Linked DNA regions of Coturnix japonica. The protein of the gene in region 1 interacts with the protein of each later gene in a biochemical or structural test. Links are inferred from orthologs where the notes say so. Each region holds a gene or a part of one and is shown on either strand. Other genes may lie near its edges.

Region 1 (5,215 bases):
TTTACCTATGTGGAAAGTGTTCGACAGGTTTTCTATCAAATCCAGCAGTAGGTACCAGGTGACTTGAATGGGAGCCACAGGCTCTGAGGTATCTCTAAATAAAGCTGGTATTTCTACAGCTGACAGTTTTAGGGTTAACAAAAAGCTTTGCCAATCCTTTCTTTACACTTTCCTGTCATTTTTTTATGTTAATAAAGAACTGCTCTTACTGCAGTCGATGCAGTAGTTCAGGAATACATTGGTTTGCTAACTAAATAATAGTCATGAGGTCTACAGTTTCTTTCCCTTTATGTTTATTATCCTGTAATTATCCCAGATTTCAGGTCAAAATACTTGCTTTGATTGTGCATTTGCTCATCTTTCAAGTCCTTTGGTACATCTAGCAATATGTGGGGAGGAAGGGGGGGATGAGGAATAGAAATCTATGCGTAGCTATTTTTCTGAAGGTGTATTCTTGTGTATTTCTTTGCTCTTTAATACATCAGGGTACTACAGAGCTCTTTGTAGGCAAAGGAGGAATTCCTAGTTCTTGCTTTAATGTACAACCAGGGCTCAGCAGTGTTTCATATATTTGCAAGATTTAACAATTCAACTCCACAGCTCAGCACAAATCTGCCCTACTACTTAATGTTCCCTCCTCTTGTGATAGCACAAATGACAGCTCGGTATATTTGAGCAGCGAATTGGTTCTGCTGAAAATAAACTTGACAAATCATACGGTTAACTGTTAGCTAAATCTGCTCCCTGATTCATCTTACTGTATTGTGGGATAAGATCTGATCCTGATAGAAGGAAGGGAACAGTAGGTGGCCAATAAGGTAGTGAGATTGCTGCTGTATTCCAGTCAAAAAAAGGAGCAATAATTTTGTTTTCCCAGTGATGATTTTTGCACCCGTTTTCAAAATGATGCTGTAAAGATGTTTTGTTTCCCGTTGGTACTAGAGTTGTGTGTTGTGCAGGGTAATCCATGCAGCAGATGCACAATGGCTGCCTTTGCCAAAGCTGTCACTTCTGTCAGGGCAGTTCACTTGATCTGCTGGGTAAGCATGACGTGTAGGGATACAGGAGAGACATCAGAATCAGAGGGCCTTTGGGTTTTCTTGTTCGCGGCAAGTTAGCAGCAGCAAAGTTGCTGCAAGTGTTAGAGGTCCTCTTCTCTCTTCCCTCTGATTCCTTGAATGGAGCTGGGAAGCGTTAAGACCTTTGTATGATGTCAGTGCTGATCATAGAGCAGTTAACCTTCCAAGGAAACCAGATGTCCTCATGAGTGCTGTACTGTCTGGTGCTGTGTTCCTCATCCAAGGCGTGTTTGGGTGATATCAGCTCGTTCTGACCAGTGCTTCAAGTTTAATTTCTGCATCTGTACTCCTTTGAATGTCTCTCAGTGCCTTTTGTTGCCTTACATCTTAGCAGATCTCAAAAGCTCAGTGTGCTTGGGTGGAGGATGCTGCTAATGGGCTCCGGGTGCTGTAGTCCTCTTGCAGCTACCTCTGTGTTTTATTACTTGAAGTGGAGCTTTGTCTGCCCAAGGCTGTTGACCTCATAGGTGAGCCCAGCCTTATTCACATGGGGAATGATGTTAGCACTTCTGTGCCAGTAATTGCATTCTGTAGACTTCTGAATTACCACACAGACAGGATCAGTATTAAGAACAGCTCTATTCTTTCCTTTAAAAGCATTATGTGGGAAATGAGATTTGTACCTGTTGCTTTCGATGGTGAAATTCACTTACCTTTGACATAATTGTATAATATACATTTTGTAACTAATAGCTGAATTAGAAGTGAGTGTATAGGAAATAAATTCATCTGATACGAGCACTCTAATAATGATAAATCTGGGTGATGTGTTTCATGGGCATTAATGAGGGCTAATAACTTGGAAGTAAATGAAGATAGCTCATCTTTTATTTATTTATTTATTTTAACTTTTTCTCTAGAACCATAGAGCAGACCCAGAAGAATTATTCACAAAACTGGAACGCATTGGGAAAGGCTCCTTTGGTGAAGTCTTTAAAGGAATTGATAATCGGACGCAGCAAGTGGTTGCTATAAAAATCATAGACCTCGAGGAAGCAGAAGATGAAATAGAAGATATACAGCAAGAGATAACTGTTTTAAGTCAGTGTGATAGTCCTTATGTAACGAAATACTATGGATCATATTTAAAGGTAATGTATCTTACTGCACAAACATTTACTAGCAATGTGTCAGCCCATTTTGAATGATGCACAGGGAAGTTCCTATAACTGAGAAAGTGTTATCACATCAACTTGACTTTCTGTTTTTCCCTTTGAATGGAGTTGCCTTTGTTCTGCATCTTTTGCTGCATGTTCCTTAAAGCTCAGATCTTCACAAAATGGCTACAAAAGGAGCGGAGTTGACAGAAGATTCCTATTGCTATTGAGCTTATAAAATTACATGGAGGAAGAGGTTTTCTCTTCTTTCTTCCCTCACAACTTCCAGTGAAATTTTGAGCCTTTTTGGAGGGGGAAAAATATGTTTTCATAGCTAGACTAACAAAAAAGAGAAACCCTCCTTTGATATGGAAGGAAACGCTGCACCGTGTGGAGATGTTTGTAGTTGTGTGTTATAGTAGGCCTGAAACAAAGTAGAACTGACAACAGTACAAAGTGGTTATGTAACTCTCGTGTTATCTAAGGCTTAAATTAAGAAACAAGCTTTAAAAAAAGGAAACATCAACACACACAACAATGCTCAGCCCTACAGAGATAAAAATTGGAAGTATATGAATGTATAGCACTGACAGAATAGTTGGATGTAACTTCCAGCTCCTGGTCTGGGTTTTCTGCTCTTTAAAAATTCCTGGCAAGCGCAGGAGTGTGTTAATTCTGCATTACTTTCCTTGTTTGGGTTCTTTCCATTTTTTAATGCATTCTGAAAGATTAATGCTGGTCCCCTGGTTTTTCTTGTCTACTATTTTGGGGGAAACATTTTTGGGTGATGTTTGTAGAGTTGTTTGTGAAATTTTGTTTATTTTCCCTTAAGAAACTTCCCTTAAAAAAATAAATCACAGGATTGTTTTTAATCCCATACTAGCATGGCAGTTAATTTTATTGCTTGCTCTTCCCTGCCTTAGACTAGATTCATCCTTGTTTGCTAGTACTGGTTCTTTCAGCTTGAGATTTCTCAGGTGGGAGAGTGTATTGGCTTTGGTAGAAGTGTCCAAATAATCTTTTATGCTGACTCTAATTTTGGTACTGACAAGCATTTCGAGAGTACTATCTGTCTATTCTTAAAAGTAAAAACTAAGGTTGCTGTAGCTTCTAACTTTCTATTAGCTGTAGTTCTGAGGATGGCTGTCAGCCTTAGTATGAAGCTGTTCAGTATTTTGTTCTGCATATTCTGTAGACTTCTTCTGGAAATGAAGTATGTACAGTTTTGTACAAAATGACTTAATAATTAAAGGTTAAAGAATGTTGAGGCTAGATCCTGAAACTTAAGGTCTGTTATTTCATAGAAAGCAGAGTCTTAGGCTGCTGAGTGCAATAGCAGTTCTTAGTGGATATGACTGGCACCAAGATTACATCAGGAGTGATCAAATAGGCTTGTTGGTTTTATACATAAAGATTATTGAAAATAGCTCCTAGAAATACTTTTCAAAGGTAGTGGCAAAAAGAGCATAAGTGTATTTCAGTATTTAAGAAGTAACCAACTTTATTGAACTTCAAATAAGCAGATGGTTACTGCCATCAAGTACCAGTCAGCTTCAGCTCTTCTCCTTTGTAAGAAAACACATTTGATAATTGAATGTTATGATGAAAACTTTAAACAACGTATGTTAACTGCAAGGATTCTGTAACTGTTCAGCCTTTCAGATGAGGTTGTTTTTCCCTCTGTATACAATTTATTTTAAATATTCTGGAGCTTTACATGGTTCTTAGTTTCTTGCATGTCAGGATGCAGAGCCAGTGTTGTTACTAACAGGAATGGAGCGGCCCAGTCCCAGTGGCCCTGTGACTTACCAGCAGCACTCAGGATCTTCCCAGTGATCCTCCTGCTAAGCAGAAACTGAACAGGAGGAGGAAAGAGTGTCTTTATCTCAATTACTTGACTTACTAATTTGTAACCTAGTCAGCTCAACTGATGCCATATGAGATACTCTTATATTCTGCAGCCTAGCTGCTCTTTAGCTACAGCTTGCATCTTTGACTTGTAAATGTGATTTTAAGAAATACAGACAGCCCCTAAGCATTTTTACTTAACAATGTAGTGTTATTTGTCTGTTAGTAGATATTTTAAAAACGTTATTGAGATAAGTTAGGGTCATCTTCCTTACCACTGAGATAAGACTGGTGCTAATTTTCCATTATCGTGACACAAAAAGGTGCAAAATTCCCAAATCACAAAGACATGGGGTACCTTTGTATCTTGAACTTTGGAGCTCAAATGGGAATTTACTGTTGAATAAATCTTAAAACTCAGCTAGTCTTAATAATTTTCTCCCTTAAATTTGGCTGTCTTGCAAGGCCCAAGCATTGGTAGGTGATGTATAAACATGTAGTCAAAGAATGTACCATTATGAATGTGTTTGTGTTGGGTAGTAAAGGTTTTGCCTTTTATTTAGTGTCTTTCACTGTTCTGTGTGGAGTTGTGCAAGTTTATACAGCTGTTCTGATGAGCTTGTGTAGATGCAAGATAACTTTAATCCTGATATAGATGTTTGTAGACATTCCTGTCTGTGGTAGGTGAGCATCTAAATTTGAGTTGTCACCCAGGATTGCACTTTGATTGCAGTGAACGTCATATCTCACAAAATAAAACATAGATTGTGGAAAGTACCCTTCAAAATGATACTGCATAGCAGTGTAAGGTATGCTAGAGTGCTAAAGTGTTGTCCTCAACTCTGTTGTGTCAGAATGTCAGTATTACTGCCTTATTAGCTTATCCAACAGAAAGATTAAAGTTACTGAGAGTTACTCCAGCTCTGGTATGTTCTGGTTATGCCAGTTTGTGAAGCTCAATCAAATATGTAAGCTTTATTTTATCTGATCCCATAGAGAGTGATCATCTCTGGGTGACTAAAACATGTGGATTGTTTTCCTTATTTGTGCCATGTAGCCTTTGGGTTAGGGAGTTAATTATCTACTCTGTAACTTGTAACTACTGAACCCACCTGGGCTGCTTTTATTTCTTGATTTTGCCTTTAAAACAAGCTTGACATTATTCTCAGTTTTTCAGATTTTTAGCATGGA
Region 2 (5,215 bases), on another chromosome or scaffold:
ACATGCAATATTAAACCAAATGAAATCAGTCAATTTCTGCCACAGAGATTAAATTAACGTTAGGACTTTGCTATTGAATGTTAGGACTGTAACGAGAGGCTGAGGCAAAAACCTAATTCAGTGAGAAGGCGTTTGTTCCACTAGAGGGAACCCTTTCCCAGGCTATTTCCTTGTGTGTACACGTGTGACAACTAAACATTGTGAGATCATCCTTGTCCTCCTCCTGGGACTGCTGCAGTTAATGAGCATTGTTCAGTACCAGGAACTGCTCTAGTTTAACTAATAGTGACATAACTGCCTCTAACACTTTGCAATCTAAACTCTGAAGCCTCCTCAATTATTTTTAAAGCATTTACAGTAGTGGCTCAGGGAAACTACTGAGATTTCAGATTTGGCTTGTGATTTTGTTTGCAAATTTCCATCTCCTCCAGCTTTTTATAGTAATTTAGTATAAGAGTACTTGTAACACTTGAAAAGGTCTTAACCATTCTCTTTGTCCTGTGTTTAGTTCTTCAGTGAATATGAGAAGTTACTTCATTCAGAAAACTATGTGACAAAGAGACAGTCACTTAAGGTAATGATGCAGTTTTATGTTCTTCAGAGCAAAGTTAGAGAGTGCCTTTAATTTCAAATGAGTTGGCTAAATGAAACAACAAGTAACTGCTTTGGGTAATATTTGATTTGTATCTTGAGATCAGTTAATTTCCTATAGTCCAGTCCTGCCATAATTCAGTGTCTAGCACACACCAAGTCATTTCTTCCTCCATGCAGAAGTGACTCAATGGAAGAGTTTATTTCTGTTATTTTTTTTTTTCAGATTTTGTTTTTCCCCTTCAACAAATCTGACTAAATTATTTATGAACTGAAATTGATTAAATACATATGATTTATTTGTTAAATAATCTAAAAGAGGGGCTCACGTGATGTAATTAGTGCAGTACTAATTTAAGTTAGTCGGAAATACCGATTATAACTGTTGTATATGTGCCAATTTGTAGCAGAGGTTTTCACCTTTGTTTTGCATCCTCCCTGGATAAAATGGGTAGTGAAAGAAGTAGAAATATTTCTCATTTGGATTGCCAGCTCCCTTTTCTTACCAGACTCTTTAGGTTGATGTGAAGTATTTTTTCTTAACAGAAAAAATAATGAAGTTGTGGGGGGAAAAAAGCATCAAAAAGATTATGGTTTTTTTCTTAATTTCAGTTCCAATTCATAACAAAGGGAGAATAAAAGGAGATTTTGCAGTTCCCTGTTGAAAAAAGGCGTGTTTGAGTTCCAATCTTTCTGCTTTTACAGAGCAGTGTTGGTTACTCAGTGTGTTTGAAAGTACTTACGAACAGGTTCTGTCATCTCTTCTTTCACCTTTTCACTTCTAGCTTCTTGGTGAGTTATTATTGGACAGACACAACTTCACGATTATGACAAAATACATCAGTAAACCTGAAAATCTCAAACTAATGATGAACCTTCTACGAGACAAGAGTCGTAACATTCAGTTTGAGGCCTTTCACGTGTTTAAGGTAAATTTAAGAACAACCATATACACACACACAAATATACACAAACAAAATGAAAAGAAAGCTCCACTAAAACAGCAACCAAACAAAACCCACCAGGAGTTTGTTTAGTAAACTGCTTAGCTGAGCCTCAAATGAAGTGCAGCAGGATAAGGAGGAATCCATTGTTTTAGGGAAGCGTGAATTATCTTGGAGGTCTAAAGTGTTTTTGTCGTACTGTGTGACACTATAAAGAACAGCAATGTTTTGAGCAATTCAGCTGAATTTCAAAGCCTAATTGTTGTTTACGTGTTATAAAAAGGTCTGTTCTGACTTAGCAGCATACAGGCAAATAACGGAGAGCTTACAGTAACAGCTTGGAGTATAAAAGTTTTTAGTAAACTTGAATATACCCGTCTGATGTCATATGTAATATGGAATGATGTGTTTGCCACAGTTAAATTAACTGTGGAATGTCTGAACTGGCTTCTGCAGAGGGTACTGTGTCTAACAGCTCCCACAGCCTGAATTTACTGCAAATACTGGTGTTTGATTTATGTTCTGATTTAAAAAATTAAATCAGTTCTGGAATAAAACTTTGATTTACTTCCTTTTCTGTATACAATTTGGAATATTGAATAACTAAAATGTCATTTATGGTCATCCCTGTTTTGTTGGTTAGGTTTGTTTATTTATCTAGGCCTCCTGTTTCCCACTATTACACTGAATGCCTTTTATTGTCTTGCAGGTGTTTGTAGCCAACCCTAACAAGACGCAGCCTATATTAGACATCCTTCTAAAGAACCAGACCAAACTCATTGAGTTCCTCAGCAAGTTTCAGAATGACAGGACCGAGGACGAACAATTTAATGATGAGAAGACCTATTTAGTTAAACAGATCAGGGATTTGAAGAGACCAGCACAGCAAGAAGCTTAATCTCCAGTAAACCCCTATAATATTAAACCCAAATTCAGCAGTTGCTGTTAGATATTCAGCATCAGGCACTCTTATCGATTCATGAGGAACATTACTGCTAATCTGCTGTTCAGTGAACGGTTTTTGTTTTTCTTTTTTTCTTCCTTAGTCCAAGTTGAAAAACATAGCTGCTGCTTTCTTGCACAATGTGGACTTTCTTGATATTTGTGTCATTTCAGAATTCAAAGACACTGCTTGTTTTATGAGCCCTGAAAAGAAAGATTCTAGGTTCATGAACGCAAACATATAGATAATAGTTTGGTTTAGGAAAGAAGGTATTAATGTAGTTAAGTAAAAGGTTGCATGCTTGCAAATCTGAATAAATCTGTATGTTTGCACTTACCTTGTTTGAGATACGAGCACAACGTGACCTGTGCATACCTGGCACCATAGTATAAGATTACATGCCTTGATTAAAAAAAAATAAATAAATTGTGCAGTGCTTTATTTGTAATCAAAGGGGAAATGTATCTAAGATGTGAGCTTGTTGGGATAAACAGTTGTCTTGCAAATAAACTGATATTGAAACTTAGCAACTTTTAAAAGAGTGACATCTCAAGGTCCATAAGGAAAATGTATATATGCCTTTCACTGCTTTCTAGGTTTTTTGGACATGATTTGATTTTTCTGGGAATCGACTTGTAAACTTGGAAATATGTTCTAAGGGGTTTTGTTAATTTTGCTTTAAAGGTATTTCAGACAGTAGACCTAGCAGTGACATTTTGCGTTTCATTTCAACGATGCTTGCTGGTTTCTTTTGTATATAACTCCTAGGCTGCTCATTTCTTTAAAATATGATTTAATTTGTACAGCAGAGGAATGTTATTGTATTAGTCTGTAACTATTACCTAATATTGAGTTTTGCAAAATGAATGCTCATATGTAATTGAATACTTCAGATCACATGGAAATGCTGATTTAACGATCCTAAGTACTGCAGCATTAAAAGAAAAAAGCCACCAACAAATTCTCTGTACTCACCTAATGGGGTGCCATCAATTAGGCTAGGCTGACCTAGAGAACTGGAACCCTATCTACTAGAATCTTACCAGATAACATTGGCCTTACTCGATTAAACTAGTGTTGTGCTCACCAGATCTGCAGATGGCAAAATGTGATGCTAAATTAAGACGGATTCTTCTCACTTCTGGGGAGCCTGCAGTGCATCGTTCCTGTCTTACAATAGTTAACTCAGTATGTAGTTGTGTGAGTGAATGAACTGATTCCCTCTGACTTCAAGAACCATAATTATATAGATGTCCTAGAGTAACAAAATGATTTTCCTTTGTTGATTTTGTTCTTTAATGCTGCAAACTATCAGTATTTATAAAAACAAAAAAAACCAACTGATTTTGCACCATTTTTTTGTTACTGTGACCATACAAAAGGAATCTACTAAATATAGCTAAACGATGTTATTGAAGTTGTATTTATCCATCATATAGTAATGCTAAGATCACAACCTACCAAGCGTATGGATTGGAGTCTGAAAGTTCAAATTCTGCATGGCTGAATCTGATTGAGAATGCTATAGAAAATGTTTGTTGCTTCCTGTCCTCTTCCTAATTAAAATATTCCACAGTCAGCAAGATGAAACTCCTTAAGTGACATTTAAAGCCAGTTTGAAAGCCTTCACAAGGGAAGCTGGGTAGCTCCAGAAAATCGAGCCTTTTCACCCAGTAGTTTAAAATTGCTCTTAACATTTTAATTGGCCTTTTTCAGGTCCTGTAATGTCCTTTGCAAACGGGTTCGTTTTGCCTACTGGGAGGAAAAGAGCTGACTATTCCTGGGCATTGCTTACGTGAGCAGGCAGAATTGGCCACAGGATGGTATTGTAGTTCAGGACTAACAGGTTATTACTTGGTTTATCGTAGCTGAATGGAAGATGTTGTTTGCCAAGTTACCATAAGGCTTCCTCTTTAGAAAAGCATAGAAGTGTTATATATGCAAAGATGTGAAAACATTTGGACTGGGATGTAGGTTACTCTGTCTTAGGTCTTGGAAGTAATGGCTAAGGTAACTTCTTTAATACGTGATAACGTTTGAAAGTTGGCTTTCGGAAAGAACTTGTATGAAATTAAAGCTCATTTGACGTGCTTTTCGTATTGAAAAAGACCCAGCTGTTGTTGTGGAAGTGGTTTCTTATCTGCTGGAAGGCTGAAGGATATTACTACAACTTATTGAAATGTGAGCGGGTTTTGATTTTGTGCTTTTTTTTCTTTGTTTTTTTTTCTTTTCCTTCTTAAATAAGAGATGTACACAATTGTAATTCTACTTCCGTGGTAGCATTTCATTTCTCCTGAGGAAAATGCGTTTCTTATCCGAACAAAAAAAAGAAAATCTGGCTGGCCCCATAATTTAAATTGAAATAAAATTTTGAAGAAAAAGGTGTGCTTTGTGCTTTGCTGTGTTTCTGAAGGCGGCGCGTTTCTTCTGGCTCAGAACCTTTGTGCCTTTGTTGCCTCAGAGGTGTTTGATGTTCTCACCTTTACATATTACATCATTCTATATAATGAAAAGCTCTGGCTTATAAAAATCTTTCTGAGGGTCTGAGGTGCCGTATTGGAGATCTAATCAGTTTTCATTAATTATGAGAAGTCTTTTTTGCCTGTGCATTGTGTTATTTGCTGATATTTGCACGGGTTCGAATCCCCCCTGTGGCGCAAGTGGTAGAAGTGCCGCTCTGCTACACAGGAGACTCGAATCCTGGGGGCTGGACTCGATGATCTCTAAGGTCCCTTCC

Evidence for each region.
Region 2: the proteins of STK26 (region 1) and CAB39 are reported together in a solved structure, tested with the Homo sapiens proteins (2 studies listed by IntAct, with this or other methods). The link is inferred for Coturnix japonica from reciprocal best matches to the Homo sapiens genes STK26 and CAB39.

The regions. Positions count from the first base shown.
Region 1 is NC_029519.1:3,353,239-3,358,453, forward strand, and holds part of STK26 (serine/threonine-protein kinase 26), read left to right. Parts: intron 1-1,939; coding exon 1,940-2,170; intron 2,171-5,215. UniProt on the Homo sapiens protein: Serine/threonine-protein kinase that acts as a mediator of cell growth. Modulates apoptosis. In association with STK24 negatively regulates Golgi reorientation in polarized cell migration upon RHO activation.
Region 2 is NC_029524.1:4,182,192-4,187,406, reverse strand, and holds the end of CAB39 (calcium-binding protein 39), read left to right. Parts: intron 1-508; coding exon 509-574; intron 575-1,376; coding exon 1,377-1,520; intron 1,521-2,244; coding exon 2,245-2,433; 3' UTR 2,434-4,861; downstream 4,862-5,215. UniProt on the Homo sapiens protein: Component of a complex that binds and activates STK11/LKB1. In the complex, required to stabilize the interaction between CAB39/MO25 (CAB39/MO25alpha or CAB39L/MO25beta) and STK11/LKB1.